Drosophila melanogaster: one gene and its partners. The protein of the gene in region 4 interacts with the protein of the main gene of each other region in a pairwise test. Each region holds a gene or a part of one and is shown on either strand. Other genes may lie near its edges.

Region 1 (5,503 bases), 4.2 Mb from region 4:
ATTGCCGGCTGTCTGAAGTGATCGGGCGGCATTACAAATCGTTGTATCAAATATTAGTAAAAGTGAAAGTAATTGCATACTTACAACATGTCATCCGCGTTGACGAACCTCTTGCAATCGCTGAGAATTGTGCCCTTGGGACATGGAAAGTCCAGTAATCAGGTGGTCGTTGTACCAAGCAAAAAGGAACGTTTAAAACTGGAAGATCTGCCGGAGATCGCATTGGAGGAGGTGGCCCAGCACGACAGCTTCGACGATTGCTGGGTGGTAATCTACGATAGGGTCTACGATGTGACACACTTTCTAAGGGATCATCCCGGCGGCGACGACGTCATTATGGATCACGCAGGGCGAGATGCCACCATCGCCTTCCATGGCACAGGACACTCGGGGGATGCCATCGAAATGATGAAGGATTTCTTGATCGGTCAACTGCCCACCAAGCAGCACATTTTTCGCACTGGCAAAAACAAGGTTTTGTCCCTGGGCATACCGGAATAATATAATGCCAGCCGATTTTGCACCGATCGCCTTCGCCGCCGTCCTCCATGTCGTATATGTCTATATATATATATATTTTTAGAGTATTCATCGACTAGTTTTCTAGTTGTAATCCGCTTATTTCGAATTCCGCTAAACGGCTTTTGCTTAATCATCAAAAACCATACAGACAACTATGTATGTATATTTATATGTTAAATATTTTTGCCAAGACTTGAAACGGATCTAAGATTATATTATTTTAAATTTGATTGTGCTCTTTGATGTTTGTTATCTGATGACTATAAATGGTTGGTTGGGTTGGGCGTGTTTGAGTATTTGAAACTCTTATTTTGTTTGTTTGTTTGATGATTCTGAAAAATGACAGGCTTCTATCAGTGCTGATGGGTAAACCTAAATGACCAAACCCTTTTCCAACGACATACTTTCTACTTCAATAATACTTTATTCGGTAATATTCATCTTACACATATTGGTTGACATTGGGTAAATGCATAAATAAGAAATGCTTATGACAAAAATAAATATCACTGAACAGATTTTCACTTGGCTGCTCTGATAAGAGGCTCCTTATCAACCTCCTTTCGTCTGACTAGTACACAAGTATTTGGCATTTGCTTTCCAATTGACTTAAAAGTATTGCTCATTAATGGATTGCTTATCAGTTGAACCATAGTTTATGGTGGCCCCCACTCCTATTTAACTGCTGCTAGTCGGTGGTTCGTTGTGAGGTCCTTGAAGAAGAGCCTGCAACTTGGCAGCCGCCGGAAATGCACCCAAATCCAGTGGCGCTGCTCCCGTGGTGCTTTGTATATAGGCCAAAAGTCTAAAAGTAAAAGCATATATGTTAATAATTCCTATTGAGCGTGGTAATGAACTACGTTACCTTCTCAACTCCTCGAGAGCATTTTGCTGCATCAGAATGTAGTTCTTAGCCAGCAGCAAGGTGGCTATTTTCGACAGCTTTCGCACAGAAGGCGAATGGGCATAGGGAATCACACTTCTCAGCTCATCAAGGGCATCATTCAAATCGTGCATCCTTCGTCGTTCCCGGGCATTTATGTTCAGCCTTACCGTCTTTCCCTGGCGGTTTTTCTGCTTGCCACTGTTGGAGCCACTTCCGCTGGCGCCACCACTGGACACGGCCACCGTGGTGGTGCCACCACTGATGGCAATGGCTGCGATGGCGGCGGCCGTGGGACTCAATGGCTTCTCCGGAGCACTGGGCCCTGGTTTGTTCTCATCCGTCGGTGGCTGCTGGGACATGCCCATTCCCTGGGCATAGAAACCACCCAGACCAACCGATCCAAGTGGCGTCCGACGGCCGGGGACGCTTTGTGGTGGGCTGGCGGTGGGTGCTGGATGCTGGCCACCAAGCATATTGGCTGTAGGAGGTATTGGCATGTGTCCGTGGTTGGGGAGACCGGGAAAACCAAAAGCAAGATTCGAGGGATCCATTTTTTTGTATTTTATGGGACTTTTCCAGCTGTGAAAAAAAGGTTGAAGGGATGTGTAATCTTTTAGGGTAGTCCTTGCAAATCAAAGTTATTATGATGCAGGGTTGCATAAGAAAACTAAAAAATAGGGGTGAATACTCGTATGCTCAGCTGTTCGGTAGCGCCATCTGTCGGAATTTTATGTATTTAATAGGTTAGCAAAGCTTTTTATAGGTGGAGCATCTGTTTTGTGTTTTAACCCGAAATGGTTTAACAAATTGCAAACGTCTGTCAGGTATTCCTTAAATTTAATTAAAGCAAAATAATCGTTAAGCCTTTCGGAAATTCAAAGCCAAAATATTACGCGGTAGTCAGATTAACAAGATGAATATAAGCTTATCAAAGCTTTTCATAGGTGGCGCTGTGTAGTAGTCCAATTTAAGGGATGGTTTAATATGATGTTTCATGGCGAATACAATTTTAGCGGCATTAAATTTATTTAGGAGCGCAGCACTTCAGAAAACAATAAACTTTAAAATTATACGTCAATATATATAAATAATAAATTTGGCAATTATTAACCCAACGAAATGGATTATAAAATATGCAAAATCGACGCAGCACTTTATTTAACTTGCAGTTAATTCATGACACACTTAAAAGATTATTAATTTAAATTAACCACAAATCACAAGTTCGCCGGTGTACGAAGGGGACGAAGAGCACAGAGCACGGAGAAAGAAATTGCGGATTTAAACATTTTTAAAAATCGCACGCACCACAAACCAGGCAAAAAATTCAGATCCTGAATCGCAATCGGAATCGATGCGCGAGTGTGAGGTGCCCGGCAACAACAGAGACGACCGCGATTTTGTGGTGGGTTATAGTAGTCGCATAACGATTTTCCGATTTTCTCCGCTCACTCTCTCTCTCTCTCTCCCTGCCTCCGCCTATGCTTTCCAATCGCCCGTCTCTTTCGCTCTGTCAGCGAGGATGATTATAAACTTTTTGCCACCGACGCCACCGTCGCCGTTTGGTGTTAATCTCTTTCTGCAGAAGGAATATTATGAGCCACTATATAAAATGTGGGTCGGGTGTCGACGCCGGTGGTTGACGTTTAGTGGTTGGGCTTCGCATAATGCAGCATCCACACCAATACATACAGCACGATTATTACCAATACTCACAAAGGTGAATGAGTCACAGTTTCAGCACTAAGAAAAAAAAATGATTACTAATGATCGAAACCTTTTTGAAACATAACATATAGCATCAGATATACCCTACACAAAATAATAATAATTTCTAACATAAATCTAATCTGCTATTGAAAAGTTAACAATTACATATTTGCATTTAAAAATGGTATAAAATCATACTAATTAATAATCTATTCATTATTAATCATTATTTTGTATATTAAATAAAAGTCTGCATTTTTCAATTGGTTAAGTAATAATTAACTATAACCACACTTGATTGTAACGAAAACCAAAAACTTTTGTTATCTCTCAAAGTTGCATTTAATTGTTGAATATTATTTAGTGCAGTCAAATTTTTTACAAGTGTATGAAGTTTTTAATGCCTTTGCCCTGCCTGTCCGAAAATTCACTTTTCTTGTTGTTCAGGATTTTTATCGCTTCGCTCCTTTTCAACCCTGATGGCCCATCACCACCCCTCGCACCCTGAATCCGCCGGGTCCGCTCCTTTGTCTGTGATTTCAATTTCCATTGAAACTGAATCTAATCACATGCTCACTGCCTGCTGATCCTGGGCCGCCTGGCCAGTCCTGGATTCCTGTCCTAGGGGGTTGAACGAGGAACAAGGACCACGAATAGCCGTCCATAGCCCGTGCATCCTAGTATTTCGCCTATATGCCCATATACAGCATAGCTCAGAGGATGCCGCATCTGCATGGCATTCTCTACGTGAGCGAGTTTGTGCGTTTGCGAGTTGCCTGGAAATTATGGTATCGCATTGTTCAAAGCTGGAACAATGCCATAAATGGCACATGCCAAATATTTTCGTTGGCAAAGGCATAAGCTAGAAAAAGGTATGGAAAATGATAGGAAGTGCTAGGCAGATCTAGGCCACATATTTATTTATTTGATTGTATTTATTAGTTTTAAGCAATCTTTGGGTGTGGGTATATTTTTATTAATTTAAATATAAAAGGACACATTTTTCAATTAAGAGTATTATAAGAGTGTTTTTCAATTGAAATATTTTTTGAAATATTTAGAAATCCGCTGTTTAAATGACAACCTAACAAAATTATCATGAAAATCAAACATTTTTTTAAAAAGTCGTCCGATGAAGATTCTTTGTTAGTGCTGCTCTGATAAATATTTAAAATCAATCAATAGAGAATTTTTTTAATAATAAAATTTAATCGAAAAAATCTGTGAACATTCTTTTTTTTATCGACTTGTAAATTGTTAAGTCAAAATTTGAAATAATTTTTCGAAGATGCCTCTTTTAAAGTTATAAACTTTGTTATTTTACAAGTTCCATAGCTAAAGCAGATGTTTATTATCCAAAGCCAGCATCTCCATCCTCCTGTCAACTGCAATGCCCACTAATGACTTTCCACACTTCGGGCCTCGCAGGACATTTATGTATAAGTGGCGGAGTGTGTGTGCGTGGAGCTGCCTGCAGTCGTTTAGTCCTTAGAATAAGTCAAACTACGAGCACGGGCGACAGACCTAATGACTTCGCGCATGATAAATTTAATAATTTGCGCTGGCAACTTTTCCATTTGGCCTTTGTTTGCGCTTCCCTCCTTTCGTAGGGAAAATTATTGTGTCAGATGTTCGGGGCAGCAGTCACCGTATGCCATTATTTTCAATGAAATCCGGAATCTGGACAGCCCCTCTAGGCAATGCACCATTTGCTGCGTGATTGTGAGAGTTTTTTTTTTTTTTGGGTTTCGGGCTCGGGATCGGAATCGGGTATATTTGCAATCGCAGTGCACTCTCCCTTGTTGTAATTGTTCTGGGACTAATTCAGTTTATATATGCAGCATTTACATTGCAATTTACGGCGCTTCAGCTACGGCCAACACAATCATTTCGACTTTTCAACCCCGGGCCAGCCGAAATTTAAATTTTCGGTTTTTTCATTTTATGGCCACATTTTTATCAATCCATATACATATATATGGGCATTTGTCGCTGTTCCGTATCCGGGTTCCCGGATCCCAGGTCCGGCAAAGGCAATGAGGAATTTCATTATAATTTGCATAATTTATGCGCGACCGTGATTTGCATAATTAAGATTTGTACATTTGTGCATGCCAGTCATCATTAGCTTAGGTTCCGCACTGCGGACCAATTGTAAATGGCCAGCCCAGGGATTTTTTGGCTCGTACCTCGTGATCCGTCAAAGGGTTGTCATGGGTTAATGGATGACCCTCGAACTAAGCCACCGCGGGTATGGACATAAGTGGCTCTATTCATTTTGTGACGCTGTTAACTAATTTTATTAAATTATTCAATGTACTTTTTAACTATTAATGCAGTTTTTTAATATATCACAGTAAATATCATGGAAAATGCTTTTGAACT
Region 2 (6,612 bases), on a different chromosome or scaffold from region 4:
ACAACACACAGCGACGGCAGCTACTACAAAAACAATCAACAGCAGCTACAACAGCACAGCTATACCAGCGGCGGTAGGCCGCTCTCCCCCGCTCGCCACCCCCCGTTCCGACCAGCCAGCTAGCTGGCATAGACCATAGCCCATGGCCCGTAGCCCGCCCCCTTCCAGGCAACAACACCACAGACCCCCACAACACCCCACCCACTCTCTTTTTGCGGCACGGCTACATACAGCAGCGCACATACAAATGCACACACACACTGGGAAGGAACGGCCCACACACACCCATACATACACACACGTACAGACTGGCAGCCAGGCCTTCGACGTCGAACGCCACAACGCCCAGCGACCCACTACCCGCCCGCCTCTCCACACCCACCCTCTTTCCACTTCCCTCGCCCCCCATCATTCCACTAAATGCTGCTGCTGCTGCTGCCACTGATGCCTTTGTTGTTGTTGTTGCTTTCCCTGCTGTTTGGGGGCTGGCTGTTGGTGATGATGATGGTGATGTTGATGATGATGGCGGTGATGATGACGTTTGGAACTGGCAAACCGGGAGCTGTGGGTGCCAGAGGGAGGGGGTGGCGATGGTTGAAGAGAGGGGGGAAGTTGGTGGTGGGGGGAGGTAGAGCAAGAGCCGGCCGCCAGGACTTGTGCTGTGCCAAAAGAGTGAGTGAGAGAGGGACCGAGGGGCACAGAGGCGGAGACGTCGCTGCTGCGTGTGCGAGTGGGGGCGGGCAGGAAGATAGAAGGAGGGAACGAAGAGGTGAGGAAGGGAGAGGAGGCGAGACGAGAGAAAAGCGAAAAAATACTTATAATAAAAGCAACAAAAAACCCGCACAAGCTGAAGAGATACAAACGTACACACGCAGCCAAAGCGCACAAGCACACACACACAGGCGCCGTCGTCGTCGCCTGGCTAAATATTCGCCAATGTGTGTGTGTTTGTGTGTTAGTTTGGAAGGAGCCAAAGCGGTAGGTAAGTTAACTGGTCGTAGGTTCGCAACAACAAAACCAGAGTCGCAGCAGCACCAGCAGCAGCAAAAGAAAAAAAGAAGAAGAGGACGGCCAGTGAACGCGGTGAACGGGGGGGTTGCTGAGGAACGCGGATCGATGGAGCCATTTGGCTGAACCAGAAGCGAGTCCAGCAGCAAGAAAGGGGGCCCAGCGGCCGATTGTTCGCGCTTAAAGAATTTAAAGCTGAAGTAGCATCAGGAAGAGATATTAAAGGCATTTTATTTTTAAGCAACAGTAATTGGTTGCAAATATTTTATACTATGTACTGGCTTCCACGATAACAGGGTATACGATAACTTGGTAAAATTGTTCACAGGTTTTCAGGGTACCCTCCACATGGTGCTCCATGTACATACAAACATACACACATACGTATGTATGTTCTTACGCCCCTGAGCAGGCTCGCCCACTCTCCAATTTTGGCCGTCCTGCTCCCCCACCCTTGCAACACTCAATTTCAAACAAACCTCTTTTGCGCTCTTCTCACATCTTTCACTCTCTCAAAAGTGGCTGTCCTAGCGGTACCAAAAGCTCGGTTGAGACAAACTGATAAGGATAAGCAAAGATCACTCTCTTGATGCTCTCTTTGCACAATTCTCAATCGTTATGATATCCTTTCGATATGCCATTGCTTATGCTGTGACCTTGAACTTGGCTGGACGAAACGGGCACGTGACAATCAACAGTTCCATCTTCTGCATTTTAAAATGCATTTAAGCAGCTCTTGCAGCACATTTCGCCTGCCACAAAGTGCGGGCAGCATCGCAATTTTGTCGCGCCTGGGTTTCGTGTCCACACATATACATATGTATATGCATGTATGTATGTACACAAATACATACCTAGCACTATAGTGCAACTAGCCCTCTGGTTCTTCTTTCTATGTGGTTGCTGTTGCTGCTTTTTTCTTGTGGGCGGTTAACGCTCAAGCGGTGCGAACGCCCATGTTGCGCCCCTTCCCTGCCCTCCCACCTCCGCCAGCTCTCTGTTTTTTCGTCATGATGAGCTTGCCTGGCTGCCTGCTTGTTCTTGTTCTTCTTTACACGTCCTCCAACGACGTTCGCTGTTGGGGCCCCGCTTTTGCTGTTGCTGTTGTCGCTGGTGCTGCTGTTGCTGTTGCTGGTTGTTGTTGGTTCGGGCTGTCTATGCATGTATGTGTGAGTGTGCGTTCGTGTGTGAGTGTGCGCGCGCGGCGGTAGGTGGGGGCGGGGCGGGGCAGGGTGAATCAGGGGCGGTGCGGCATGGGGGAACGGTGGAGTGGGGAGCGTACTTGTGTGTGCATGCAGCTCTCGGCGGCGTCGTCGTCGTCGTCGTTTCATTCAAGTGTCCAACGTTTGCCGGAGCGGTCGCACACAGAACGGTAGTCGGATAGTCGGACGGTTGGCAGATTCCGATTTTTGCGCTCGCTCTCTCTCCCTCTCTCTCTCGTTAGCCCGCGCTCTCTCCTGCTGTGTACTGTTAGCAAGGAGGCGACCGAAAAATAAGAAGCTTGCCGAAACCGTTAGCAAAGCGCCGTTAGCATGAAGGATGTGAAAGTGGCGCGCGCAATTAGCGAGTCCTCGACTACGTCAGATAACACCTCCGATTTCATCGAGATCGTAAAGAAGTACGATGTGGTGTACAACAACCACAATCCGGATTACAAGAACGTTGAAGTGAAGCTGAAGGTTTGGACGCAAATCGCCGATGAGATAGGTCTTTCAGTGGGTAGGTAATAATTACAAGTAGCACCACCCCCTCGTCAGCCCGGCCCACCACCAAACCCCCTTCCACCCAGCAAATAAGAAGGAGGCGCAGGAAATTGAATTACGTAGAACCCACGCACACTGCTGCACTGTATATACATATGTATATGCATATATACAACCTTTGTATATGTACCTGAAAGCGGACAAACTCAAACCGCCCGGCCTGATATTTTTCGTACGCTGGTACATATACATATGTATATAGAAACTGTACGTTCATATGTGTGTGTGTATGTCAGTTGGAGTGCGGTCGGCAAATTGCAGCGAGAAGCAGAAACAAAAAAAATATAAGGAAAACACACTGGCACGCAGAAAAAACAAACAAAAACAGTCGATGAGCGAAAACTGCGCGCTCTCTGATGCTGAGAGAAAGAGCGAGAAAGATAGTGAACAGGCCGGAAGGGGCGGTTGTGGGAGTGGGTTGGCGAGAGCTTTTCAAAACAAAAACATTGCGCACGGTGTTGCCAGGTGCGAAACTTTTTCCCAAAACAAGCAACCACCTGTGCTGCAATTTTTAATAATATTATTATTATTATTATATTATAATATTGCCTATATAATTGTTATTTTAACTTTTAGTCAAACATAAATAAATGTGTAATATCATACATTAGTTATATTTTAATGTGTATTTTGTCTAAATAGAGCACCATGTATTCTTTAGTTCCCCTCGTAAACATTAAACATTTGTTACCGCCACGACGGTTTAATTTGGGATTAATTTTAATCTAGCATAACTTAAATGCTTTTGGAGCATACTTCCAATAAGAGCCCCAGAAGATACTAAGCATCGCTTTGCTTATATGTGTGTACAATATACAAAAGTCTCATAATTTTTAGAAATGAAACGTGTGTAAATGCTTTTTTTAATCTATTATAATATCTTACGAGCAATTCAGATGATAGGAATACCTTTTTGAATTGAATTTCAGAATATCACGATTAAATTTCTTTTGATTGCGGCTTTATATTCACCATATTGGCGAGCAGATCGCTTATTGCAAATTCTAATGAATTATATTATTAAAAACTCCAAACTGCATTCGCTGATTAAGTATTTCGTTGGTCATGAACGGCGGTCACACTGTCCGAAATTTAAATTTTAAACTTGACCCCACTATACATTTGTACATGGGCTAATGGAAAAAATTAAAAGAATATTTAAATCTGTGTTGAAATATGCTTTTGGTAGCTGACAACGTATTGAGCCGCATCCTTAAAAATTAGCAGTCCTGATAATAGAATCAGCGATAAGTTTGTGAGATGGTCTAAGCTTAAAACTTATTTTATCCTTAATCATTAAATAACGACTGAGAGTAATATTCAACAAAACACTTCCGATTTTTCAATGTTGCATACCACAATTATCAACATCTAATTTTTTCTTATTGCATTTGATTTTTAGAGGCCTCGAAACGGAAATGGAAAAATCTAAGGGACAGTTATACAAAGTATCTTCGCTCGTTTCGCGTAGGCACAAAGACATCCAAGAAGTACCAGTACTGGGCCCATGCAGATCACATGGATTTCCTAAAGCCCTTCCAGGGACCGGGCAGGTGAGTACTCCACATTGCAGCTCATTTGTACAATCGCCGAACTGATCATCTGTTTTAGGAACTCCGCGAATGGCAATGGAAAATCCAACGACGAGGACGACACAGAGTGTGATTTTGGCTACCAAGTTTTGGCCAAGGCGGCCAGCAATGGAGGCGAGGATGAGCTGAAGATAACCATTGCCACTGCATCGGCTGGTTGCTCATCCATGGGGACGCACACGGTTAATACCTATACTACCGCTTTAAGCAGTACTTCGGCGTCCGGCATAACATCAAGTTTGGGCGCGACCACGCCCCCGAATATGATCTCTCCAGGCAGCAATTTGGGCGGAACAGGAGGAGGTTCTGGGTCCGTGGGACCGCAAATCCACAACAGCAATAGCAACGGCAGTGCAACCGGAAGTCTAAACTGTGCTGCAGTGGCACCGCTCAGTTCGATGACTCCACCTGCCACCAGTGGCAGTAATTCCGCCGTAGTCTTGCCCCTGCCCATCTCACCCGCATCCTCAGTCGCTGCCGCAGCTGCTGCTGTCAGCAAGGCCAATGCAAATGCCCTGGCCTCTCTGGCTAACCATCTGCCCATGGGCTTGGGCGTGAGCGGACTGGCCCAGCAGATGTTCCCGCTAGCCACGCTCAAGGCGGCGGCAGTGGCTGCTGGTCTTCCCCTGCCACCTACGATCACGCCGCCTGGTTGCAGCACCGGCAGCGCAACCAACAGCAATGTCGGTTGTCTGATCATCGAGCCGCATCTCTTTGCGGCGGCGGACAACTTCAAGAAGGAACTGACAGCGGCTGCGGCAGCTGGAGCACCTTTGGGATTGTTCCAGAACCTGGCCAACCAAGTGCAGAACGCCAATCGTTTGAACGGCAGCTGCCCGAGCTTACCCATGGGTAATCCCACTCCTCCGCCGCCGCCGCCAGCGCCACCAGCCTCCAAGGTGCGAAGGGTACAACCTTCGCCGCAAACCACGGCCATCAACCTAAGTTGCTCCGGAGGGAATTCCGTACAAACGCAGCAGCAGCAGTCAATGCAAATGCCACAAATTCAACAGCAACAACAGCCGTCGCCCGCCAAAACGCGTAAGATTTGCGATCCGCGTTTTCCGAGCGATTGGGACGTCTCTGCCGTGCTACAGGCCAACAGAGAACTTGACGCAAACACTCTTTTCTTCTTGAGTCTGGCGCGGCAGGTGCGAGCTATGCCCATGAAATTCCAGTCGCTCGCCAAGATGCGTTGCATGCGAATCGTCAGTGATTTGGAGCTAGAGCTGGAGAACTTTGATTGCAACGGTGGAGCGCCACCGCCGGATGATTCAGGCGGAGGAGGAGCTGGGAATCTCAAGTACTGCAGCATAGATACTCCGCCACCGCCGCCGCAGGACGGCTCCGTGGTCATACCCCCGCCGCCAGTCGGCCCCGAGGGCTCCACGGAGCACTTTGTGTATGTGATGTCGCCGTCGCGTGTGGAGAGCATGATAGACATCTCCTCCGACGAGGAGGCGACCATGAATGGAGCGCCCTCCACGGGCCAGGTTTAAGCGTATTCGTACAAGTTATCTCTAAATTAAAATTAAATTAATCTCAACTAGGTTCCTTCGGTTGGTCTTTCAATCAGTTTATTTTGGAGCGGCGGGTGATCCGATGCTTAGGTGTACAAAATGTGGAAAAATCTCCGGGACCCGGCAATTTGATGGTACATGACTTTAGTGCGAATGAATTTCATTCAAAATCTCGATGACGAAGGCATCCTCTACTTAGGACTGCACCTTGCCCTTGGTGGTGAAGGCGAAGTATGCGAATCCGCCGACCAAGAAGGCGGCCAAAAGCTCAGCCTTGATCCAGGGACCCTTGTAGGCACCCTTGGTGGGCACGGAAATGTCGAGCAGCGACTTCACCGATGAAACCTTGTCGCCATCCCGCTGGGCCTTGCGCACATTGGCATAGCCATCCTCGTCGAAGAGACGCACCTGAACATTGCCGCTGCTGCCCTGCTTGATATCCTCCACCCAGCTCACCTAGTGCAGAACAGAGATTAGCCTTTGCACAAAACTTGACGGGGCTACTACTGGCTCACCTGGTACTTGTTGTCGCCCACCTTGGCCACCGGCACCACCTTGCCGCAGGGGAACTCGGCGAACAGGCTGGCGGGAGCGGCTCCGCTGCACTGCAGCGTGAACTCGCCCACATGGGCCAGCTGGGTCAGAATCGTGGCATCCTGGGTGCTGAAAGAGCTCACGGTGGCCTTGCAGCTACCGTAGACGCCGGACGCACAAACGGCGGCAATCAGG
Region 3 (5,881 bases), 3.1 Mb from region 4:
ATGCATATATCTTTCATACCCCATCTATTTTCTGGTTCAATCAAACACTCACTCAAGACCAAAGTTCCGGCATTTCACCGTCAATCTCCTCCGCATTCCACCACCCAATTGCAATCACTCCACAAAGGATGCCCCAATCATCCAACTGAATTCCATAGCTGACCCACATTCCTCCGCCACGCTAATTAATAAAAGATAATCTTCAATTGAACTCATTTGCAGCACACTGGCCATCATAACAATCCTTTTTGGCCACAGAGGCCCAAAATGCAAGCCAGCCGACTTCATATTATCAAACCATCAATCAAGCGAAGACAACAAGGCGCTTCCCTGCCCGGAAAAGCAGCAAAGCAAGCGAAGGAAAATGCTGTGCGGGCATCGTGTGGAAAGCGGGAGCGGGTGGAAAAAGGAAAGGCCATTAAGGAAAAATAGAAAAATAGTTGTGAACTCATTGACTCAAATAAATAACCAACGACCATGGCACGCGGCCGACGCTGCGAAAGATGAGAACGTTGAGGAGAGTGGGTATCTCGGCCTTCGCAGCTTCCTCTTGGCGGGATGAAGATGATGGCAGATCATCAGCTAGAATAACAAGAGGAGAACAGCTACAATAACAGCTCAAGACGCTACGGAACCTGGAGATTTGCAAATATCTGAGCCATAAAGCTGCCAAGTGTTGGCCTGGCCGATCATCAGCATGATGGCAGCGGAGAAATGGACAGTGCGGACTGCGGACTGCGGACTGTGGACAAACGACCTGATGTGCATGGGGTGCGCTGTACCTGTAACGGTAAAATTTCTACAAGGGAATGTGCTTTCATTTTGAAGTGTTGTATGTCCATGCACTTGGACTTGGACTTGCGCCAAAAAATCAAAGCAACCAAGCTACTGTTAGACAGCCGCAGCGGCCGGAGCAGCGGCAGCAGCAACATCAGCAACTTGCAACAGCAACTAGCAACGGCAGCTGGCAGTTAGGCAGTTAGTCACTTCACAAAGTCATTTTTGATTTGATCGATTTCGTGCAACAGCAACAGCAGCCAGGCACCGCAGCAACATCAAGAGTTCCAGTTGCTGCTGCTGCTGCTATTGCAGTTGCAGTTGCAATTGCTGCTGCTGTTGCAGCTGTGTGAAGTGGCCAAGAAGAAGGCACATGACATGGTCTTGAACATGGACATGGACATTGAAAATGCCCGATTCCAGTCTCGTGCCAAGTAGGACACACAAGTTAAGACCAGAGACCCTTCTCTGACCGTATGTTAATCTGCGATCAGTGAAAGAACCCGTTGAACTTTCCCATTCCCCTAAAGAGTGTGCACACAGAGAAATGATGGGATATTTCTAGACAAGGAGAAGGAAATCAGTCCACAAAAGATGTCCATCGGATTTTTGTCTTTCCTACTTGGTTAGTTTTGCCAAGAGTATAATAGTTTATAATAATTTACAACTGGGTTTTAAGTGTGATTATCCTACCAGCTATTTAAAATAATTAAATACTGATCTAATCTTTAACGCGTAGATTCATGAATAAATGCATCTTTAAAATTAATTCAAAAGTTACATTCCTACAACTAAAATTCGACCCATTCAACCCAGAAGTAATCTCTTTTTCTTTAGGTGCACCCCCCAAGTTACTAGAATGTTGTCCGCTTGTGGCCCGCTCGAGCTTCCAGCGGCGACTGCTTCACGCTCACTTTTCAGATACAGTATCTCGGCGTTTTGTGGAACCCAAGTGAAGCGGCCACGAGATCGGCTTTGGTTCGGGTTCGGGTTCGGGTCTTGAGATCGGCTCTCTGTTCGTCGTTGGGGCGGAAGATCTCCACCCAGTTTTTGGATGCAGGTCTAGCGCTTTTGGAATTTTCATTGAGTAAAACCAGGCAGGATGCATCGCGCGGATCGCTCGGCTGGCGGCCCCTCATTTACCGTTCGAAACTCGTCTAGGCCAGAGCATCTTTGCATGTGTTCGTGTATCTGTGTGAGCACGTTCGCTGGATCGCTCTACATTAAGAAAGAAGTGTATTAGCTTCGATTTATTGCATCGTTGCCTAGGCCCCTGCTTCTGCCTCGGTCGCTGCCTCTGCTGGCGTCGCTGATGCAGTTGGCGTCGCTGTCGACGCTGTGGATTGTGAGTCTCGCGTGGAAGTGGGAATCATCACTGGTGGATCGGGGATCGGTCTTTTATCGTTGTGTATTCATTCAGAGCACCCATACACTCGCCGAAGACGTCGTCTATTTTGCGTTTTTTCCTTCTGTTATGTTTCTGAGCTGAGCTGCTGCTCTTTTCTTAGCTTTTCGTTATTAGGAAATCGAAAACTGAAGCTGCGACTGCGACTGGGTCTATCATCAGTCCGTGAGACGGTCTCAAAGCTATTGGTCGTGTTGTCGCTTTTGTCGGAAAAACAGCAGCACGTAACGCTGAGCAGAAGAGATCCACTACGTAAAGCGGTCGTAAGACGTAACGCCATGCGATCGGTGATAACGGTAAAACATTCAAAATGAAGCGCTACCGTTTTATAGTGAAGTGAAGATAGGATCGCTTAAGGATACATCCTAAATACAAAATATATGTTATGTGTAAATTAAAAGCATATGCAAATGCAAATTCCTAACTGTGTCAATTTCATCCTAGACAAAAACAAAAAGAAACTATCTCCAAACTCGAATCCTCCTATAGACAATAAATCGATACAACTTTGCTGTAAATCTCGAATAAAACGTACAATTTATGCTCCTCTCACACAAATGAAATCACAAATTGCTTAGGAATTTTATGAACTACGCCCAGTACGTGGATGATGTGATATTAAAACACTTGCACAGAGCGATGCATATCTATGGCCTATATATACCAGAGATCGGTGCTAAATCAATGATAACTACTCGCTTAGATCCAATTAATGCAAATTGTGACAGCGCGTAAATGCAAAGTGATCCAAGCCGAGCTGCACGGAAATCAACAACAAATGCCACCGAGACATGTGTACAGGCTGATGATTATGGGCAGACATTAAACAGACAATCCATAATGAAATTATAAAATTGAAAAGATTATAGCCCGGGCTGAGCGATCGTCGAGAGGAAACTGAAACGACTGGGAAGTGCGGTGAGATTGGATCGAAGCGGCTTGGCCGGGGATCGATGTCAACTCCGGGGAGAACAGCTCGCCAATTAAAACGTATTAAATAGAGAAATACATACATATAATAAAAAGTAATTCTAAGCAACTTGTATCATAAATCAGACCAAGCTGGCCAACGCGAGTGATTGTAAAAAGTGTAAAAAGATCAGTAAAATATACCTATATCTCAAAGTGGCAACTTCCCTCGTATATACGTACAACTAAAGCTCCTAATTACCATAAATCTAAAAGTGTTTTAAATACAATAATTTATTAAATACATTCAATCAACATCTTTTACCGTTGACTACGTTTAATTGATAATACGAATATTGGCAGCCAGACAATATTTATATAAAGTTGTACAAAGCTATTTTCTGCTATACAAAAAAAACTACCTAAAGACTATCCTATACCAACTTAAATCCATCCGAAAAAATATCCCCTAAACTGAAGTTCCCACGCGCCATCGGATATCAAAGCTAGATATATGCAATATATCTTATATCTTGGCCCGATCACAGGATGACTTACGCTCCACTACGACAACAACAAAAACCAGCTGAAGCAACAACTATAACCACCAGAAGATCAAATTTGTATAGCAGCCAATGCCAGTCGAGTTATCAACATCCGTAAGGCCGAGAGAGAAAAATACGCTGCAATAGCCAAACGGTGCTCAAATGGTGATTTCTTCCTGCCAGCGGCCAACGGATATCCGTGCGGATTTTATACCAACAACGACCATCGCAGCCACGACAACGAGTTGTGCAATTAGAGCAAAGCTGCACAATAAACTAGAAGAGGCTGGCAAATTGATGCTACCAAAGCGATCAGAAATATCAAGCATGTAAGTTGAAAGATATGCACAAGACAGATTGAGGTTGAGCAAAAGACAGTAAGATACTTTTTCAGAAAGGGGCAAAAACAATATATAAATAAACACCTTAGAATATCTAAATTGAACATAAAACCACAATATCCAAGAAACCTTCCTGCCATTACGTTAACTATAATACATAAATGAATTTTAAAACTCTAATGAACCACTACGGCTTAATTTAATTGATTACAATAAGCACCATCACAGGATCAACAAATATTAGACTTAATGTCAACTGAGGAACATTTACCACCAACAAAAAGTTGATAGATGAATTTTAGTTTTTGTATCTGGCTGCCTCGCGATCAGCAGACACGTATTCGAAAGATTCAAGGCTTCCACCGCTCGAAACTGTATTTTTCTTGTATTGTAATTGATGAATGAATGAAATTGAAGTTCGAGTAATGACGCAGCGATTTCGTGGGGCGGCATTAAGATTTAGCCAGGCCAAAAAGACGTTGCGAGCGAAATAGAGTTGTCCGCGCACAGATACAGACACACTTTTTAATTTGGCAATCAAAAGAAAAAATAAATTATATAATTTTTCTCTTTTGGCTACGCCTAGATTCACGCACTATTGGCCCACCGAGCGGGCATGGAATGTATTTTCTATAAATTCGATTGTTTCCTTAGCTCAAGAAGAGTGTTGTGCTTTATTTTCGAAAGTGATTAATAGGTTTGACATGTTACTTTTACGCTAATTGAGCGATCAAAATCGAATCGAAATGGTGAAGGGCGAAAGGGTAGCAGCGGCGATAATGATAATCCCCGAATGGAATAAAAGTGTCCAAAAAGCGTTTATGCGTTAAATGCACGGAAATCGGCCGCATGTATCCGTCAGATGCAGATACATACATTGAATCCATAGGCATTGGGGCGATTAGTAGCGCCTTTCGATTTTTTTTTTCGCCCCTCGTTTTGGAGTGAATGTTTTGGGCGCGTCCATCGCAGAGGAGGAGTAACGAGGGGTGGGGGCAAATTAAGCAGGTTAATTTAATTTTAAATAGAAGTCGATGGTCGGTCGGTTGGATACAGATTTTTTACTTTTCTTTTTGTTTTTGTTTTTGTTTTTGGGAGTGCGGTGGCAGATGGGCGTAAAAGAAGCGCCCGAAACAGAAACAACAGATCATTAATTAAACGTTTGGAGGTTAGTGAGTGGCCAAAAAGCCAGACAGGTTGATAGAAGCCAGTCCCTGTTCCAGAGCCCCAGTAATGAAATAAACTATTAGACCATTTGATCATTAGGCGAGGAACACGAAATAAAGCGAAGAAGTGACGAATCGATGGTCTGCGGACAGTTCAATGAAGTTCTCAAAAGGCGAGGTCCAATTTAGATTGTGTGAATAGATACACATTCATCTACTTCCCATAAATAATATTTTGAATAAGACGTTCACGGGACTTAAGGTAGTATAACTCACTTAGCGCGTTTATTTGAAACAATAGGTTAGTACATTATTTATCTAAAATGTTTGGACAAATTGGAACAGCAGTTTCTTCTATTATAGTTTTCAAATTTGTAGCTAATACTTGAACTATTATGAGCTGGCTGGAAAATAGCAATAAAATTGCGATAAACCATAAAGCATTGTTAGGGACCGTGAAAAACTTTCGCACAAATTCACACACAGCCCGTTTCACTGAGGTGGCGAAAAGAAATTATGACACTTGATCGTTCGGGGGCAGTGAATAATTTGTTTACGGCATTAAAATGCCAATTAAAGTGCGAGTTGGCCCGAAAGGAAGTAAATCGAGTGAAATGAAATGAAATGAAATGTTTCAGAGATAATCTGCGAAATGATGGCCATGACGCTATATATAGCAAAGCCGGGTCCCCAGTCCGAACCGCCACTACAAAGCTCCCACCGCCAATTGCAGTGGGA
Region 4 (5,587 bases):
TCTGGAATATCGGTATCGATATTGGGAAATAAAATGAGAACAAATTATAAAATTGTTCAAAAGTGTAGGCGTGAGCGGATCGGCGGCTTTTGGGCGTTAAAGCCATGGCAAACATTTTTTGCAAATCGATAGAAATTTTTAAGACTTATAAATTTATGGAAAAATTTCGAATTTCGAAATTTCGTTTTGTGCGGCTTGTGGGCGTAAGCCACTAACATGGGTCAACAAACTTGCGCTGCGGCTTTGGGTCTAGAATCTGTATGCTCTCTCTTTTATAGTTCCTGAGATCTCGACGTTCATACGGATAGACGGACATAACTATATCGACTCGGCTATTGATCCTGATCAATAATTTATATACTTTATATAGTCGAAAATGCTTTCTTCATCCAACGAATCTTTTGTAGTATACCCTTTTACTGTACAAGAGCGAACGCTGTAGTCGTGCTCCACGGGGTGTACGAAGGGCACAAGATATACTTCATTTGATTAAAACTGATTCTACATTCTTATCTAGTACACTTACAATCTAGTATACTTACATATATTTACTGTCCTGATGTAGGGTAGCGATGACTCGTTTTTCTCGCTTGGTTTCGGAATCTGACTAAAATATTGAGAAACTGTAATATATAACCAATATTTTTCGTTGGCTATAATGTCTGCTGCAGGGCGTCCAGCAAGAAGACTTCGCCGCTCTGTGAGCCTTTTGGTTCCACCCATATCAGTCAGCCCCCAAGTACGTCAGTCAGTCAGCGAATGGATGTTGTCCGTTGGTCCGGAGTCAGTCCGCCCGTCCGACTCTGACTGCCCATCGCACATGCAATGGCCGCAGCATTATCATTTGGGATACTCAGATCTTGGCGTGTCGAATTCAGCTTGCGGTGTCCGGGGTCCGCGCGGCGGATTGTGGAGATGGTATGGGAGGGCCTCAAGTTGCAACACAGACACTGGGCGAATCAGAAATGCCAGAATTGAAATCGCAGTTTAAATCATTTCTCGGTGGAACTGCTGCTTCTTCAGCGCCTCCTCGCCTACATGGTGCCCAGTCACAATCGCCTCAAATCTCGAATAACAAATCGCATAATTACGGGGAAGCGGCTGTCCATTGCGTACCCTCTCGCTCCCACTCTCTGCCATCAGTGCGTCCCGCTCTAGTCTTCTGCCTGGCAGCCAAACGAAGACGAAGGAGCGAAGGCTCGAGACGGCGATGCAATTCGGATATGAAATATTTTAGCTAAATGGCAGCCGAAGAAACAAAAATGTGGGATTGAAGCGTATAAATCAGCGGGTATTCGCTCCGTTGCCCTCTGGAGCCCACCTCTCATTTCGGTCCTTTGGATGCTGCATCAATATGTGGATGTGCAGCGGCTGTGTGGTGTCTATGTGAAGCATAAAATCAACCTGAGGCGATAAATCGAAAAGATTTTGCGCTGAACACGCAATTAGTTCACCTCTAGTGGAGGATTCCAATGACATGGAAAAATGGTTTTGATTTCGCAATATAAATGGATTTGCCTTGTGTCCCCGATTTCTATGGACACAACTGAAGGCAGAATATGTGTGAAATGTTTTCTTTGATTGGTGAATTAACATTCTTTTCTTTCTCTATCTACTATAATATACAATATTTTTTATTTATTTTTTTTTTAATTATTGCTCTTTTAAATATACGAACCAAACACACGTTAGAAAATATTGATATTTTCGGGACTTTACGTTGGACAAAACCAGACACTGCTATTCTTATGAACAGCATAAAAGTTGTGAATTTGCTCAAGAATTTAAGCAGAAAAGGATAACATGAAAAACTATTGGGATTTTCTTTTTATTCCTATATACACATTCCATTTTACAAAAATAAGTGAAATAAAAAGTCGATTCCAAAAAGGGAAAATACCTTTGTATTTCTTAGTTTCCCTCGCACTGCTATTTTATTGAACACAGCTGTAAATACATACATATCTGGGACACAAACGATGAGACACAACTGCGAAACATATTCTACACCTTAAAATATTTAAATAAGAAGTAAAAAAGAGTTGAGTAAAAAAACTAGACAGAACCGATCCAAATATTCTTTATTAAGATCAATAGCCATCTCAATCTATCCGTTCGTATTAACCTCGAGACCCCAATAGACCTTAACCGTTAGGAATTATAGCTCGATAAATGTATATATGAAAAAGATCACGAAGTCCAATCAAAAAAAATTGTAAGTAAATTACCCCCTAATCAGAAATCTCTGGTGTTTTTCGAACTTAAAAACCACTCAAATATTCGAACTTCTCTCTCTCAGTTGCACAAACGATTTCGAATTTCGAACTTCTTGTGGGAGAAGCAACTCGTCGCGTGCGTCGTACGCTTGCTGGTGAAAAGTGCGCTGTGAATTATGTTTTATTATCTGTGTTTTACAGTTTGTTCTATCGAATTTAAATGAAAATACGCATCAGCAACAGTGTTTAAGCTCTGCTTTGATGAGAAAAAACTATTTCCTCTAATCCAACCTTGCTACTTGCACTCCGATCCACAGGTTCGTAATATACATATGTATACCCCAAAATTATAAAATAAAATGAACATATTTATGTTTCGACTTGAACTAAGGTAAATACTATGGAATTATTGTTTGGTAAATACATTTTGGTTGCTTTTGGCCATTAAATTGTCATTAATTAAAGGTTTGCTTGCATACCGACAAAAATCAGCTGTTTTGCGGTTTGTAGGGTCAGTGGCGTACATCTCAAGAGGGGGTTAAAACATTTTCGTGTAAGCTAACAACTTGAAAGAATCTATTAGTGGTTGATATGGTACCTATGTTTTGTGAGTACGTTTAAGAACTAATAAATAAATATTTCGTTGTTTATTATTAGCGAAATGTTACCATATATTTTGTAACAATTTCCTAGTTCGAGACCCTCATCCGAACGCCTCTGTCCACAGACTGTTTTCGAAAATTCGACAAGCGAAAGAGCAAGAACAGTTATTGTCTCGTGAGCACAAGAGCGCGACCGGTTTCTGTTTCGCTCTCGCATGTTTGAGTGATTTCGAAAGATGGATGAGTTACTTCGAATTTTATGGGAGAAACAAATTTAATTCCATTTGTCGCCATTTCTGAAAAAATTAATCATTTTACAAATTAAATCGGAAGAAAATAAAATGAAATAAAAAATAAAGGTAAACCAACAATGCGTCGACGAATACATAGTAACGAAAAAATTCACTTTTGTTAAGTTTTTTCAAACATTTAACGTACATGTACATGATTTAAAATATTATTCTTTGCTATTCAAAAAATGTTACTAGGATTGCATCTCCCTAGGATAATATATTATTAAATAAACAATTACACGGAAAACTTGTTTTTTTCTACACCTATTACTTGTTGTTTAAAAAGGACATAGAGAGAAGAGTTGGTCCGTTTGATGGTCGAGACTTCGGAAACTAAAAAAGCCGAAATTTTTAGCTATCAAGGTTTTTGCAGAATGTTGCCGAGCCCACGTCAACGTCCACAAAACCGCCAAAAAATTTACTCCCACACTTTTACAAAATGTTTTCAGTTTTCTGCCCTTATAGTAAAATGGTATACTAGATTCGTTGAAAGAATATATGTACATATTCATAAGTAGATATTATTATAGATGATACTTATGTAGTAGCTCATTTTCATTATGTGTTATCTATAGGAGCTGTATTTGCTATTATATCAGGTTTAATTCATTGATACATATGTATCAATATATGTACATATGTATCATTCATTGATAGCCCAGTCGATCTGGCCATATACATATGCCCGTCGTTATAAACGTCGAGATCAGGAGACTAAGCATACAGATTCTAGAGACATTGTAATAGAAATGTCAATTGCCAATTTTTATAGATTCTTTGTACCAAAAACATTTTGTTTACGCCCCTCCTAACTACCTACAAAACGCACAAAACGGCCAGGACAACATATTAGAACAATTTTGTCATATCTTCTCATTTTATTTGCCAAAATCGATATAATAAATATCGCTATGACAAAAAAATGATGACATTTAATCTGATAGTAGTGGAACTTGACTATAGCATTTTCTTTTGTTCTTATTTTCCCTTTTTCTTTCTCCAACTTTTATCAATATGCAAAAACAATTTTTTTATGTATGTAAAAGCTATAAAACATAAAAAACAAAATTTTTTAAGGAATTTCCTTGTTTCAAAATGTTTTCATATATCCAAACTATTTCTAAAAGGAGCCCTAAACATAAACGCAAACATATATCCTCTTTGGTCTATTTGGAAATTAATAAAACGGACTTTTGCATGGAACGAATTTAAGCCAGCCTATAGTCAAGGTACAAAGCTGGTAAAAGTGCGAATTAGAATTTTCAACATTTTTCTGACATATCGATCGAAAGAAATATAAACTAAGTAGTAACGGGTAAAAATATTAACCAAAGATCGGATGGAAAATAGTTTGGCCATAAATACATACATACGTATATACAAATTGGAAGGTAAGGTGCCCTGTAAGCCGATGAACATTTGAGGAGCTCATAAAAAATGACTTAAAATTAATGTATTGAAATGTATTCGATTGGTAATCGAAAACATTTAAATTCTAAATTGCAAAATTTGTCGCTGATTTATTGTTTTGTAGAGCAGCATTTTTACGAAACTTCTGCGCAGGGCCAGTTTCCGAACCAAAGTGAATACAACAATGAAGAAATGGCTATTCCTTGTCTCACTCACTCACCAAACTCCATTGAAATGTCACTCAATTCCGTGTCAGATTGGCCACGCTCACTGGCCATCGTTCCTCTCAGAAGTTAGGAGTTAGTTAATTCAAGTTCTGAAATTTTTAGAAATGGAAGATATAAGATAACATCTTAGTTAGTTGAAAAAAATAACAACATAATATAAAATAATTAGTTGAAAAATATAAAAGAAAATTAATAAAAATAAAAATAAAAATTAATAGAATTTTATTTCTACCAAGACGTTATCTTCCATGTACTTTCGCAAAGGACATATCTGTTTAAACGACCCTGTCAACCATGTCCTTCATGCTCTTTTCTATTTTCAAAATGTATCCTATGCCCAAGACATTGACAATAGCAAGGACGAAAAGCGGACAACAAAGCAGAAGCGAATCAGAAACGCAAATAATATAGGATAACAGGAGAGCTGCGAATCCTGGAAATGCCTACAAGAAGGGTGGTGTTTTTAGACGGGTGGATGAGGGCGCCCCTCGGTAGACAATTAAAAATATATTTAAGCTGCCAGAGGTCTTGGGTCTAAACTTACTAAATGACTGACAAGTCCGTTGCCTTCGAAGCAAAACACTGCCCCGAAAAAGCGGGGCTGTTAAAAACAAGACAAAGGGAATTTTAAGAAAACTTCCCTCGCTTTTGTTTTTCCCTCCAAAGCACTCGTGTTTTTTTTTTTTCACCCACTCCAACTTCTCCAATCCGTAGCAAAATCAGTTTGAGTTGTGTGATTGTGTACGTGAGCATAACGGTTAAGGTGGCCAAGACTGGGTGCAGTCCACCCCAATGGCCACCCCCTGTCAGAATTGATTGATTGAATTGCCACTTTATGA

Evidence for each region.
Region 1: the proteins of CG31612 (region 4) and Oli interact in a two-hybrid assay, tested with the Drosophila melanogaster proteins (one large-scale study listed by BioGRID).
Region 2: the proteins of CG31612 (region 4) and CG13204 interact in a two-hybrid assay, tested with the Drosophila melanogaster proteins (one large-scale study listed by BioGRID).
Region 3: the proteins of CG31612 (region 4) and CG10348 interact in a two-hybrid assay, tested with the Drosophila melanogaster proteins (one large-scale study listed by BioGRID).

The regions. Positions count from the first base shown.
Region 1 is NT_033779.5:17,586,696-17,592,198, reverse strand, and holds Oli (olig family), read right to left. Parts: upstream 3,016-5,503; 5' UTR 2,620-3,015; exon of another isoform or gene 1,988-2,619; 5' UTR 1,960-1,987; coding exon 1,388-1,959; intron 1,328-1,387; coding exon 1,201-1,327; 3' UTR 932-1,200; downstream 1-931. Other genes in the region: CG6870 (uncharacterized protein), read left to right, coding at 88-501.
Region 2 is NT_033778.4:11,364,375-11,370,986, forward strand, and holds CG13204 (uncharacterized protein), read left to right. Parts: upstream 1-2,335; 5' UTR 2,336-2,540; coding exon 2,541-2,727; intron 2,728-3,911; exon of another isoform or gene 3,912-4,026; intron 4,027-4,173; coding exon 4,174-4,324; intron 4,325-4,382; coding exon 4,383-5,862; 3' UTR 5,863-5,913; downstream 5,914-6,612. Other genes in the region: Tapdelta (Translocon-associated protein delta), read right to left, coding at 6,079-6,339, 6,399-6,612.
Region 3 is NT_033779.5:18,728,981-18,734,861, reverse strand, and holds the start of CG10348 (uncharacterized protein), read left to right. Parts: upstream 1-2,337; 5' UTR 2,338-3,965; intron 3,966-5,881.
Region 4 is NT_033779.5:21,792,192-21,797,778, reverse strand, and holds the start of CG31612 (uncharacterized protein), read left to right. Parts: upstream 1-2,331; 5' UTR 2,332-2,385; exon of another isoform or gene 2,386-2,533; intron 2,534-5,587.